2 linked regions of the Arabidopsis thaliana genome follow. Each later gene encodes a partner of the first gene's protein in a complex. Each region holds a gene or a part of one and is shown in the gene's direction. Other genes may lie near its edges.

Region 1 (7,998 bases):
TTTCTATTTTCGTTTAGTAAATATTTCCTTGTAATTCTACTGTGGTCCACCATTGTAAATTCATTGTTTATGTTTTTGTAAGAATTTTCAATCTGTAAATGTATTGAAATCCAATTTCTGTATTGGTATTAAAAACAAATTTCAGTGACAGCCACAGGCTCACAAAAACAGTTCTACACTACTACTTATCAGTTTCACACGAGAGCTAAGTTTAGTTATGTGCAGTAGACAGCATAGGGCGTAGATAAGGCCAAAAAACAAAAAACAAATGATTAAAAAAAAGTTTTTTTTTTTGCAAGAATAACCATATTTTGATACTTTCTTTTTATTTATTTATAAAAAATGTATTGTATTTTTAGATATTTTTCTAAGTATGGAGATGGGTCTTGATGGGTGGGTCACCAGCTGATGAATTAGAATCGAAAATCACATTCTTAGGTGTCTTTTGGTTTAGGTTCACCGAATCTTCTTAATCTATCTTTAAAGAACCAAAAAAAAACACACACAAACAATTGTCTTCAATCTCTCTGGTCATTTTTCTTATGAAAACAAGTATAATAATTACATTTATTTACACTCTTTAACTAATCAACCTATTATTACCTAACTACAACTTTCATATTCATATCAAGAAAGAAAGGTTTGATAGTTAGTTATGGTTGTTATCCTTAGCCATTATGATTTTGGTTTGGTCCTCACGGGTCCTCCTTCACCAAATGCATATGTTTTTTTTTTTTTTTTTTTTTTTTTTGTGTTGCCTTTGAAGTGAAGCTATCACAATTTTGAATCAAAATGTTGTTTGGCTTTCTAACGTGCATCAATAAAATCAGGAAGAACTTATCATTCGTCACAATCAACATACCAGCTACTTGTTTCTTATTGTCCATCATATTCCTAACAAATGATATATATAGTTCATCTCGAACTATTGAATTATTAAGTATTACGCAACACACCTATGTCAAATGATCTGAACTTCGATACTATATCAGAATTCAAATACGTTTAATTCAAAATTAACTGAAAGTGAATTCATTCATTAATATCTCTTATTTCATAGAAGAGATTTCCAACATTTTTTTACCATTGTAGTGATCTTTTAGTTGCAACATTTACTAATTAGTGATAAGAGAGCACACATGTGGGAGAATTAGGCACGTGTGAAGAGCTAAAGAGAAGCATGAGAAGAATAAAAGAGTATAAATAGGGATATTAGAGAGGAATTATAGAGATTATCCTGCGTGATCATTGATGTTGTGAGGAGAATTAGGGCTTGTGTGCTATGTTCTTGATGATAAGAGATGAGCATTGTAACTCCGATCTTATCAATATAGGGTTTTGATTCATTGTAATTGGGATTTACGGATAATAAATACAAAGGTTTATGCGTAAGTTCTTATCAACTTGTAATGGTCTTCTGGTTGCACCATATGCTCATAGATCTAGTGTATTTGGTACAACTGCTTAAAAGTTTTTGATTTACTCTAGTATATTTAACGGAGATTTGCCTATTTTTCCTTAAGGGTGTGTTTAATGTTTTCATGTTGAAACAATGAATGAAGTTTCATGTAATTTTAAATGAATGAGCAATCATAATGAAACCGATCTACTTTGAAGTTTGAACATACAATAGAATTGACTCATATGCTTATAATGGACTCACCATCTATGTTTCACTGCTACCACAACATTTTTTGGTAAAAGATTCACTAATCCCTCTTTGTGTTGGTTAAAAAATCAAGGTAAAGAGAGAAAAAATTTCAAAGATTATATGTACCAAATGAACAATTTGAAAAGAAAAGGGTTATTTTAGAAGTAAAAGGAAATATATGGACCGGGGAGGTTATTATTACAGAATTAAAAAACCCTCTTTCACGGTGGCTTCTTCTTCTTTAGTTCATCGGAGAAATTTTAGGGTTTATATCGGCGAACGGAAAAGATGGGTACTTCGGTGCAAGTGACTCCTCTCTGCGGAGTTTACAACGAGAATCCTCTCTCCTACTTAGTCTCCATTGATGGTTTCAACTTCCTCATCGACTGTGGTTGGAACGATCTCTTCGACACATCGCTCCTCGAACCTCTCTCCAGGTTTCTCTATCCTTATTATCTACATTTCCAGAATTCACCAATCTAATTTGTTTTGAATTCGATTCTTCTGGTTTACAGGGTTGCTTCTACTATAGATGCAGTTTTGCTTTCTCATCCAGATACACTTCACATTGGTGCTCTTCCTTATGCTATGAAGCAGCTTGGACTCTCCGCTCCTGTTTATGCTACTGAGCCTGTTCATAGATTAGGTCTCCTTACAATGTATGATCAGTTTTTGTCCAGGAAGGTGAGATTTTGTTAACTACTGGAGTGGTTATTTTTGCGCAATTGTCTGCATTGTAACACGATGATCTTACTGTTGCAGCAAGTATCCGACTTTGATCTGTTTACACTGGATGACATAGATTCTGCTTTCCAGAATGTGATCAGATTGACTTACTCTCAAAATTACCATCTTTCTGGTATGTGGTTTTAGTGATTTCTAGGCTCTATAGCAAACTAGAAACAATTGACACTTATCTCAAGCAAGTTTGATCTGCATTATCTATGATCTCATATCGGGAAGGAGTTCTTTGACACACATTGAGTATTTGGTTGTTGAAACCTAAGTTATGACTTCAAAGATTGTTAGGATGTCTCAAGGTTTTATCGTTGCCCTATCAGGAAAGGGAGAGGGTATTGTAATTGCTCCTCATGTTGCTGGACACATGCTGGGAGGTAGCATCTGGAGGATAACAAAGGATGGGGAGGATGTTATATATGCTGTTGACTACAATCATCGGAAAGAAAGGTACATATGTTCAGATTTTATCTTATTTGAAGTTCGAGTAATGTTCATAACAGTAAGTAAAGATGTGGACTCGTGATACTGAATTGTATATCTTAATTCAGGCATTTGAATGGAACTGTTTTACAGTCTTTTGTTCGGCCTGCTGTTCTGATAACCGATGCATATCATGCTCTTTATACCAATCAAACCGCAAGACAGCAAAGGGACAAAGAATTTCTAGGTTAGCTTGTAGCCCAATATGTGTTGTGTATCTTCTATAGTATTTAAAACAGCCCGCTTCTAACTGCCAGAAACATGTGTGCATGTCCCCATTTATCATTCAGATACCATTTCAAAACATCTTGAAGTTGGAGGAAATGTTCTATTGCCAGTAGACACTGCGGGTCGTGTCCTGGAACTTCTCTTGATACTTGAACAGGTAATAGAACCGCTTTGAATGTATCATGCTCTTAGTTAATGTTCAGCTGTTTTTTAAAGACTGGATATTGATCAAACCTGCAGCATTGGTCACAAAGAGGTTTCAGCTTTCCCATTTATTTTCTCACGTACGTGTCATCTAGCACAATTGACTATGTTAAGAGTTTCCTCGAGTGGATGAGTGACTCCATTTCAAAGTCCTTTGAGACTTCACGTGATAATGCCTTTCTATTGAGGTAGATTTTCTTATAAGAATGCCTTATTTGTGCCGTCGTTTGTTTAGAATACAGAAGACATCACATGAAATTTAAACACATGCAGGCATGTCACTCTGTTGATAAACAAGACTGATCTGGATAATGCTCCACCTGGTCCAAAGGTTGTTTATAAAATTATAAGTAACTCATTAGTGTTTGTTAGTACATAGAACGTGGTGGATTTATTATTATTTCCTGTCTTTTCAGCTGATAATAGAACTAGATTTTTTCCTATTATATGTTGTAGTGACTAAATCTCATAATATAGGTTGTTCTTGCTTCCATGGCTAGTCTCGAAGCCGGTTTTGCTCGAGAGATATTCGTGGAGTGGGCAAATGATCCCAGAAATTTAGTCCTCTTTACTGAAACAGGCCAGGTATGTTTTTAGAACCCACATACGTTGAGGAACGAAAATTTATTAGCATTGCTATAAAGACCTGATGGTAGATTCTTTTCCTAGTGCTGATCAGCTAGTTAAGTGGATATATGAGAATCTTTTTTGTCTTCTGATCTGAATAAGAGTTCCCCCATTTATGTGTGGATATTTACCCCCAATATGTACACAATAGGCAGAGATTGAGTACCTTAAAGCAGCATTATAATTACCACCAAAGCCTGGCTTGCTCCTTTAGGATAATCTCCAGAGCTTTCAGTCTTGAATTTATCAATTAGTTACATCCAGTACAAAATAAAGGGTCTTAGTAGACTATCATATTAATGGAATTGACACCACTATGCACAAACTGTCTAATTGGCCATATCATTCATCTCAAATGAACATAATTTTTTTTTGTAACCGCGTACTTTGTTTATTTTTCTTCTAGCGAGACATCATCCTGTTCCCTGAAATATCATACTTTTAATTAAAATTCAATCTAGACAAAAATAAATTTATTCAAATAAATAGTTTGGAAACAAATGGAAGCTTTGGTTAATTATTCACGCTTTTCTCAGTTCTGTGTGACTATGCTTTCTTGTCCATGTCAATCTATCCAGAAAACAGAGCATTACGGAATTATTAAGTTTGAAATACCAGTAACACCGTAAATCCAAGTGAAATTATCGAAGTTCTTCATCCAATTTGTTACCTTTGCCATTGGTCGTGTTCCTTAGTTGCGATGGCGATTATACTTTCCATGTGTCCATTCATAGTTCACGTGATCTAAGATTTGCAAGATGTTTCGGTTTGTAGTCAATCACATAAAACTAAACTGCTGTTAGTTTGATTTTTAATTGTCATTTGCTTCTATTTGCAGTTTGGCACTTTAGCTCGTATGCTTCAGTCAGCCCCACCTCCAAAATTTGTTAAAGTCACCATGTCTAAGAGGGTTCCTTTGGCTGGGGAAGAGTTAATTGCATATGAGGAAGAGCAAAACAGACTGAAAAGGGAAGAAGCTTTGCGAGCTAGCCTCGTTAAAGAGGAGGAAACAAAAGCTTCCCATGGATCCGATGATAATTCAAGTGAACCTATGATCATAGATACCAAGACTACTCACGATGGTAAATTTTTTCTTATTTTATATAACATTTTATTACCCTTGAATATTCTGTGGCCTGTAACTTCTTATTTTTCATGTAAACTTTAACTTAATTGAAGTATCTAGTACTGAAAATGGCTATGCACATAGTACCCTCTGTAATGTACTGGTTAGTTGGTTTTAGGAGGCATTTATGTGGTTATCTTGAGTGACCTAGAAGCTACATTTAGAAGTCTCACAATACATTTCTGGGTAATTTGTTTAGTTTTTCACAGTCCCACAATATGTGTCTGTTTCAATTAGACCTCTGGCTACCGTTGTTGATTGCTCTTCTTTCCACTACATAGTGGTCTGCAACTGACCTTTTACATTTCTGACTACTCTTGCAGTTATTGGTTCTCACGGGCCTGCATATAAAGATATATTGATTGATGGATTTGTTCCCCCATCCAGCAGCGTAGCTCCAATGTTCCCATATTATGATAACACATCTGAATGGGACGACTTTGGGGAGATTATTAATCCAGATGACTATGTGATCAAGGATGAAGACATGGACCGAGGAGCAATGCATGTACGTTCCTTGAATTCTGGTCTTGGTCTTGGTCTTTCTTAGCTCTTGTTATATTTGCAAATTAGACCTCTTAATTTCCATGATGTTTGCATAGTGGTGGTTCCTTTTACGATTTTTGTATCAAGAAGAACAAAGATGTAAGAAATCTGCATGATATGCTCTGAGGATTTGGGATACAGATAGGAAATCTTTTGCCATAAAGTTGCTTAGGCTCTTGATTTGGTATGAGTGCAGTTCTTCAAATGAGTGCACTGGTTCTACAGTTCCATCTTTATATTTTCCTTAACAACTGATTGCTTACTAGTAAAGGTTTAGGGTCATTCTATGTAGAGTCTTGTGTTGCTTATTAAATTTGTGATATAATTTTCCATTTCAGAACGGAGGTGATGTGGACGGAAGGCTTGATGAGGCAACTGCTAGTCTCATGCTTGATACAAGACCTTCGAAAGTCATGTCCAATGAGCTCATTGTAAGTAGACTCTAATTATATCCAAAGAACAATACATTGATAGAGATTTTGTCTCAGTTAATGTCCTCATTTGTTCTCCCTTTCTAGAATCTCTGATTATTGTTATAGACTGCTTATCAATGATAGGCACAAGGAGTAGTCTTCTCACTTAGAAATAGAGAGATAGGAATTCTCATTGACATGGCGTTGTGCCTGTCAAATTTATCTTCATCTGATGATATGCATACAAGAAATTTATTAATTGATCTTCTAATTAGTTATCACGGGAGACCTTGCTAATCAGATCTTTAGCACGATAATTCAACTTACAGATATTTTGTTGTTTGGATTAATCGGTCTAATTTTCTTCTTGTTATTGAACAACTTTTGTGTTCTTACTTTTACCCACTTGATCTTATGTCATGTAGAAGTTTCAGAAGGTTATTCTCAGAACGTAGGCCTTGCCTGCTAAACAAAACAATATGGCTCTTTAGTCTTCTTCTGTCTATACCTAACTGCTGTCTAATTTCCCTGATAAATGATTTAGTTTGTTCTTATGCTTTTGCACAGGTGACTGTTAGTTGTTCACTTGTTAAAATGGACTATGAAGGTCGGTCAGATGGCCGCTCAATCAAGTCAATGATTGCGCATGTTTCTCCTTTAAAACTTGTACGTTTCTCTCTCGTCTTATATATATATAGTGTTAAGCACTGAACTGGAAACTTGCGGTGATCTAATACTATATATCATGTGAAGGTTTTGGTGCACGCGATAGCTGAGGCTACAGAGCATTTGAAGCAACACTGCTTGAACAACATCTGTCCACACGTGTATGCTCCTCAAATAGAGGAAACGGTCGATGTGACTTCTGATTTATGTGCTTACAAGGTAGAAATTACTTAGAATTAGGAAGATCCTTTTTAACTCATGGGTTTTGAGTTGTGTGATTGAATTAACCCTGTATGGTGATACATCAGGTCCAACTTTCTGAAAAGCTGATGAGCAATGTGATCTTCAAGAAGGTACCTTTTATTTCCGTGACTATTTTTTTCTTCTTTTCCGATTTGCAACCAATGTCTCTGAAGAATGATGAAATAATATCAGCTGGGAGATTCAGAAGTAGCTTGGGTGGATTCCGAAGTAGGGAAGACAGAGAGGGACATGAGGTCTCTACTACCGATGCCAGGTGCTGCTTCGCCACACAAACCTGTTCTAGTAGGTGATCTGAAAATCGCAGACTTCAAGCAGTTTCTGTCGAGCAAGGGTGTTCAGGTAGAATTTGCAGGTGGAGGAGCTTTACGTTGTGGTGAATATGTCACTCTACGAAAGGTTGGACCGACGGGTCAAAAGGTAATTCAAAGCAAATACTGCATTTCTTACAACAAATCAGAGAATGACTTATATATGTTGGGGATTGTTCAGGGAGGAGCATCGGGTCCACAGCAAATTCTGATAGAAGGACCGTTGTGTGAAGACTATTACAAAATCAGGGATTATCTCTATTCTCAGTTCTACCTCCTCTGAGCATGATATAGAAAAAAAATGAAGCTTCTTCTCATTTTCTCAACATTTTTCAACCACTCAACATGTAATCTCGTATAGTTTATTGCCTTGCTTATAACCCTCAAATCTTATAGATTAATGTGTTAAAAATGGCAATAGCTTTTTGTAACTTTTTTGTACTTGTCATCTTAGTAGAAGCTTAAGTTGTCATTGGATATATTCCACTCCTATTTCGGTAAAGCGGTAAACTAAAACAGTAAAACGTGATAAACTCTCTTCTTTGTTCCTTGTATGTTCTCTCAAAAGTTTAAAATGAAAGCGAAAACACTTTCCATTCAAGAGCTTTCAACACCTGGTCTTGGCTTCGTGCTGACGTGGCATCTAGCTTTTTTTTTTCACTTGTGAATTAAACCAACCATATGTGTTAAACATGGAAAGATAAATAAAAGCAATTAGGTGGTTAGGTGTGTTAGTGTGAGGCT
Region 2 (6,065 bases), on another chromosome or scaffold:
GTGAAATCTCAATTTCACGCACAAGCTCCTCAACAACAGCAAATGGACTGTTATTCTCGAAGTGAATGATGACAGGTGTGTAAGAGTATGAAGCACGATTTTCATATGGTCCATATTTGATCTCTTTGCCAGCCCGGTTAGCAGGTTCAATGCTAGTGAACGACTCTACTCTAGTACTAGGAGTCTTAATAAAAGTTGTCTGTTGCTTAACATGATACGGTGACAATATCACTGCACTATCATGATAGTAAACCAATTGAGATTCTGACTGGGTTATCTCCACTGGGAAAGGTTCCAAGGAATGAGTCAATATGTAAAGCACCTCAAGTGAAACAGTTTCACCCGGACCTAAGGGGCTAATAAACGTAACACGGTAGTATCCAGTGTCATTTGGTGCATCAGGTTGTTCAGTTGGTTTTACATCTAATGGCAAATAAGTTTTCTTCTTCTTCTTGCCAGTAGTTGCCAGGGCTTGTACCATAGCCAAATTCTTGATCTGGGTAGGTGGGAAAGCAAGAAGCATTTCTGCAGCAGGATCTTTCCCAATATTTTCAACCTGAAGAAAGAAATCCAGACAAGAAAATGTCACCTCCTAATAGAAAAACTTAAAGATGATGAAGGAGAAAAGCGATAATATCAAATTAACTGTCACAACGAATCAAAGCCACTAAAGTTCCAACCTTTACAACAAGTATCACTACAATAAACTAAATTTGACTAAAAGAAAAACAGCTGCAGTTTCATATAACATATCCAAAAAAGCTTTAATTTTCCAATTCTAAGTTCCAACCTTCCAGTGTATATTCAATAGGAATAACTATTATAAACATTTGCTTATAAATACCTTGAGAGTCAAGAAGGCCTTCACGATATGTGAGCTTAAATCAATCTGTAGACAAAAACAAACACAAAGGAGAAGCATTTCAGTTTCGGGCAAGAAAATTTTGCAAACAGGTTCTATCATTAGACTTTCTAATTACTCAAATCAAACGTATAACTGATGAAAAGTCACACTATCTATCAATGTACATACATATGAAGCCTATCGATGATGATCAACCATGAAGTGACCAATCACACAGTAATTCTACAAACCGAGTATAGATCGGAGAAACAGCAAAGCCCAACGGCAACTTCATTAACTTGAATTTCCATAAATCGGAGAAACGGGATCCATTAAGGAAGTTTATGAATTGTAAGAAGAAGATAGATCGGAGAATCTTACCCTTCGCTCGGCATTTACGATCTGGAGATCCTGAGCTGAGGAAAATGCAGAAATAGATAACAATACAGCTACGAAGACGGAGAAGATCCCGATACGAGCAGCCATTTTCGTCACTGCAGTAAGAACAAAACTCAAATCAACGAAAGAGCTCAGAGATGGTGAATTGATAGGATTTGGAAGATCAGTAAAAAATTACTCACCGATGAAGACAGAAACAGCAAGAGAGATCGTGGATCGTAAATATAGATACCGACGGCGGAAGGAAGAACGTCGGCCGGCGAAGTGAGAATGATCCGGTCAACTACAAAGTCTCAGTGTCTCTCACTTCTCTCTTGATTTAGGGATTAGTTACGAGCTTTTTTCTTCCTCAGATTAAAAACGACATGAGACGTTGTCGTTTCAAACTTTTAAATTTAATGGGCCGTGAGAAGAACTATTATTGGGCTTCACACCACAAAAATATCGACGGTTGGATCAGACACGTGTAATAACTCCGAACGGTTCCGATGTCACTGAACACTTTGCCGCCATTCAAATTCGTTTGTCGACCTAACTCTGTTTCTTCTCTCGCCCCCTTCAAAATTTTCTCCGGTCACTTGAATTTGTGTTCTGATTCAACGAGTAAGATATTTTTGACCATCGACGAGTTTTGAAACTCAAATTGTTGTTTATTTCTTCAGTAACTATGGCTATCGATTGTCTCGTACTTGGTAACAGTTTTTGTTCTTCTTCTTCTTCTCTCTTTGCTTCTTCAAAGTTTCACAATTTCAATTTCTGTATAATTCTATCTTTTTTGTGTTGTATCCAGGTGCTGGACAAGAGATTGGAAAGAGCTGTGTGGTAGTGACGATTAATGGTAAAAAGATAATGTTCGATTGTGGGATGCATATGGGCTGTGATGATCACAATCGTTACCCAAATTTTTCTCTCATATCTAAATCCGGTGATTTTGACAACGCGATCTCTTGTATCATCATCACACACTTGTATTGATTCTTCAAACCCAGAATTTGTCCCTTTTTTAAAATTCACTTTTTTAGTTTTTGTGGGTTTTAATTGTGAGTGTTAATAGCCATATGGATCATGTTGGAGCGCTTCCTTACTTCACGGAAGTTTGTGGGTACAATGGTCCGATTTATATGTCGGTGAGTTATATTGTCCTCAAGGTGTTCGATGAAATGTTTGACTGACTGTTTTTTTTTTGTGAAGGTAAAGGTTGTTTACTTTGATTTGTCTCTTTTGTAGTATCCCACAAAGGCTTTGTCTCCATTAATGCTTGAGGACTACCGAAGAGTGATGGTGGATAGAAGAGGCGAGGAGGAGCTATTCACCACTACCCATATCGCAAACTGCATGAAAAAAGGTACTTGAATATTGGATTTAGTTCATTTGAGGTCTTTGTGCACGAATTCAGATGCAGTGTCTATAACTTGACTTCCTCTTGTTTTTTTATATGTAGTAATTGCAATAGATTTGAAGCAAACAATTCAGGTTGATGAAGATCTTCAAATCCGGGCTTATTATGCAGGGCATGTAAGACATTCGTTCTGGTTTTAGTGAATTTCTTTCTGTGTTTTTTATATTCAGAGTTTCTGTATTTTTTAAAGCTTATTTTGTATTGATCATAAGGTCCTTGGAGCAGTGATGGTTTATGCAAAGATGGGAGATGCAGCGATTGTGTACACTGGAGATTACAATATGACGACAGATAGACATCTAGGAGCTGCTAAAATTGACAGACTCCAGTTGGATCTTCTCATTTCAGAGTATGGAAAACAAATACAAACTTGTTCGCTGGTATTTTTCAACAAACTTAGAAAGAACAAGTTTACCTGATATAGGTTTAACTATGCCGTTTTAGGTCCACATATGCAACTACCATTCGCGGCTCAAAATATCCCCGGGAGAGAGAGTTTCTTCAAGCTGTATGTCTACTTGTAACTATTAACACATGGTTTCTAAATTTGTTCTTAAATGGTTTTTGATTATAATTACCCGCATCACCTTTGGCTTGTTTCTGATCAATATACCCCTTCAGGAAATGCTTAAGCTTTCGTTTGGTAATTGTCTGATATCTCAGAAAACTCTTCCAGGTTCATAAATGTGTTGCTGGCGGAGGGAAGGCGCTGATTCCTTCATTTGCTCTTGGAAGGGCTCAGGTCTGTCTTCTTACAGAGCTTTGAAGTCAGTTACTTAAACTTGTCTTTGCTTCTCTTATGTCTCATTGACAATTGCGTTTCCTTTTTCAGGAACTCTGCATGCTGCTTGATGATTACTGGGAACGCATGAATATAAAGGTTCCAATTTACTTCTCATCAGGTCTGTTAAATCACCACCAATCCTCATATGAAATCAATTCTGCAGATTAGTCAGCTCAACAAAGTCGTGACTCTATTTCATGAATAGTGATCTCTATCTTCTGAAAATTGCTGTCCCTGAAGATAAATTTGTACTTTTGCAGGTTTGACCATCCAAGCAAATATGTATTACAAAATGCTCATCAGCTGGACAAGCCAGAACGTTAAAGAAAAGCACAATACGCATAACCCATTTGATTTTAAGAATGGTATGTGTACTACCATTTGCAAATAACTTTAGAACGTTGAAGATGAAATTTATATCATATGGAACCGAAACTCTGATGTGCTTGAAAAATAAGAACCAAACTAGTGGTTCTAATACATCCTTTGCGTCCATTTTTTGTTCTTATCCACTACCTTAGCTGTACAACTCTGCTTGCTTTCTAACTACTACCTTCACATTCTGCAGTTAAAGATTTCGATCGATCTCTTATACATGCTCCTGGGCCATGTGTTCTCTTTGCCACACCTGGTATGCTTTGTGCTGGCTTTTCACTTGAAGTGTTCAAGCACTGGGCTCCTTCTCCCTTGAATCTTGTTGCATTACCCGGGTACTATACCTATTGTGTTTCCCCTTTATTAGCAATTCAGTTTTTTCCTAGCATAGCATCTAACACGAAATTGTATCTCTTTTCATCCATTTATGGATCCGTTTTTTACAGATACTCTGTGGCTGGGACCGTTGGGCACAAACTGATGGCTGGTAAACCCACGACGGTTGATCTCTACAATGGCACCAAGGTCGATGTCCGTTGCAAGGTTTGTTTACTCTTTCTTCTGGTTCTCACAAAATTTATGTAACCTTAACACGAAAACAGCAATGCGTCCAATTCACACGTTGAACCTAAACTAAAATGTCTTGTTGATTCTGTTGTTATCAGGTACATCAAGTGGCTTTCAGTCCTCACACAGATGCAAAAGGAATAATGGATCTCACAAAGTTCCTTTCCCCAAAGAACGTTGTACTCGTGCACGGCGAAAAACCCAGCATGATGATTCTTAAGGAAAAGATAACCTCAGAGCTTGACATCCCCTGTTTCGTCCCTGCCAATGGCGAAACAGTTTCATTCGCTTCAACCACTTATATAAAAGCAAACGCTTCTGATATGTTCCTAAAAAGCTGCTCCAACCCGAATTTCAAATTCTCAAACTCTACTCAGCTCCGTGTTACAGACCATAGAACCGCAGACGGGGTTTTGGTAATAGAGAAGAGCAAAAAGGCAAAGATAGTTCACCAAGATGAAATCTCTGAGGTGTTACATGAGAAAAACCATGTGGTCTCTTTAGCTCATTGTTGTCCAGTGAAAGTTAAAGGAGAATCAGAAGATGATGATGTTGATCTAATCAAACAATTGTCTGCAAAGATCTTGAAGACAGTGTCTGGTGCTCAGATCCATGAATCTGAAAACTGTTTGCAGGTTGCATCTTTCAAGGGCTCTTTGTGTCTAAAAGACAAGTGTATGCATCGAAGCAGTAGTAGTAGTAGTGAAGCTGTGTTCTTGTGTTGCAACTGGTCTATCGCAGATTTAGAGCTTGGCTGGGAAATCATCAATGCTATCAAACTAAATCACTGATTCTTGTAACACTGAGAAGTGTTTTCAGTTTTTGTCGTTTTTCTGTCGGCATATGTAAAAGTTTTGATCCTAGTAAATTAAATTAACCCAGTAGTAACTAAACTTACCAACTTTAGCGCCAATTTCTATCTAACAAAGTAACACCCGTATTAAAAACCGGAACCAATTACCCGAAACTGAATCTGAATCCGAAAATTTACTTGTGTCCTAAATTCTTCTACCCTAAAAACCAAATCTGAAGTCGAACCCAAAAATACATGAATATTTTAATCAAAAATTTAAATTTTATTCGAAATCCGAAAAATTTGCATATTTACCCGCAAAATCAAGTATGGTTCTAAAAAAGGCCTAAAATCTATACACGAACCGATATTTTAGATTTACCCTATAGAATCCTAAACTTCTCTACCCGAAAAACCGTATTCGATCGAATTTTACCCGAATCCGACCCGTTTATCCGAATGGCCACTCCTAACCGGATCCTTTAAGGTTAAAGACGTACGACTTATTGTGATAATGATAATTAACTTATAAGACTGTGTCTAATCTTCAATTAATGTTAATTAACTAAAACCATTTTTTAAAACTGTCCGCCATGGCTTAGCGTTTTCTAGAGCAGAGAGAAAGAAGAATCTCAATTCTCTTCGTTACTAATGTCATCGTATTCTTCAGATTCCACGGCGGCGCGTGATCAACATGCGCCTCTACTCCGTCCACGACACGACGGCTCTTTTTCTTCTTCTTCTTCATCAGCCAGACCTACAGCTCTCGCCGTTCTATTAGGACGGATCACCGGCCACCGAGCACCGTCGATGCTGGTTAGAGAAACAGCGGCGCGTGCTCTCGAGGAGAGACGAATCGATTGGGGTTACTCGAAGCCTGTAGTTGCTGCTGATATACTATGGA

What was found.
Region 2: CPSF100 (region 1) and CPSF73-II share a complex: the UniProt entries of both Arabidopsis thaliana proteins name them as parts of the CPSF complex.

Annotation. Positions count from the first base shown.
Region 1 is NC_003076.8:8,050,611-8,058,608, forward strand, and holds CPSF100 (cleavage and polyadenylation specificity factor 100), read left to right. Parts: upstream 1-1,828; 5' UTR 1,829-1,939; coding exon 1,940-2,088; intron 2,089-2,166; coding exon 2,167-2,335; intron 2,336-2,413; coding exon 2,414-2,510; intron 2,511-2,712; coding exon 2,713-2,839; intron 2,840-2,940; coding exon 2,941-3,059; intron 3,060-3,162; coding exon 3,163-3,257; intron 3,258-3,340; coding exon 3,341-3,492; intron 3,493-3,577; coding exon 3,578-3,635; intron 3,636-3,781; coding exon 3,782-3,889; intron 3,890-4,769; coding exon 4,770-5,013; intron 5,014-5,380; coding exon 5,381-5,565; intron 5,566-5,941; coding exon 5,942-6,034; intron 6,035-6,583; coding exon 6,584-6,682; intron 6,683-6,769; coding exon 6,770-6,901; intron 6,902-6,990; coding exon 6,991-7,035; intron 7,036-7,117; coding exon 7,118-7,363; intron 7,364-7,435; coding exon 7,436-7,537; 3' UTR 7,538-7,855; downstream 7,856-7,998. UniProt on the Arabidopsis thaliana protein: CPSF plays a key role in pre-mRNA 3'-end formation, recognizing the AAUAAA signal sequence and interacting with poly(A)polymerase and other factors to bring about cleavage and poly(A) addition. Required for antisense-RNA-mediated gene silencing.
Region 2 is NC_003071.7:318,687-324,751, forward strand, and holds CPSF73-II (cleavage and polyadenylation specificity factor 73 kDa subunit-II), read left to right. Parts: upstream 1-1,746; 5' UTR 1,747-1,910; coding exon 1,911-1,935; intron 1,936-2,033; coding exon 2,034-2,211; exon of another isoform or gene 2,212-2,297; coding exon 2,298-2,370; intron 2,371-2,470; coding exon 2,471-2,588; intron 2,589-2,684; coding exon 2,685-2,758; intron 2,759-2,854; coding exon 2,855-2,991; intron 2,992-3,086; coding exon 3,087-3,150; intron 3,151-3,318; coding exon 3,319-3,384; intron 3,385-3,474; coding exon 3,475-3,544; intron 3,545-3,686; coding exon 3,687-3,791; intron 3,792-3,994; coding exon 3,995-4,136; intron 4,137-4,247; coding exon 4,248-4,344; intron 4,345-4,466; coding exon 4,467-5,159; 3' UTR 5,160-5,277; downstream 5,278-6,065. Other genes in the region: AT2G01720 (Ribophorin I), read right to left, coding at 1-556, 845-889, 1,226-1,330; RIE1 (RING-finger protein for embryogenesi), read left to right, coding at 5,813-6,065. UniProt on the Arabidopsis thaliana protein: Component of the cleavage and polyadenylation specificity factor (CPSF) complex that play a key role in pre-mRNA 3'-end formation, recognizing the AAUAAA signal sequence and interacting with poly(A) polymerase and other factors to bring about cleavage and poly(A) addition.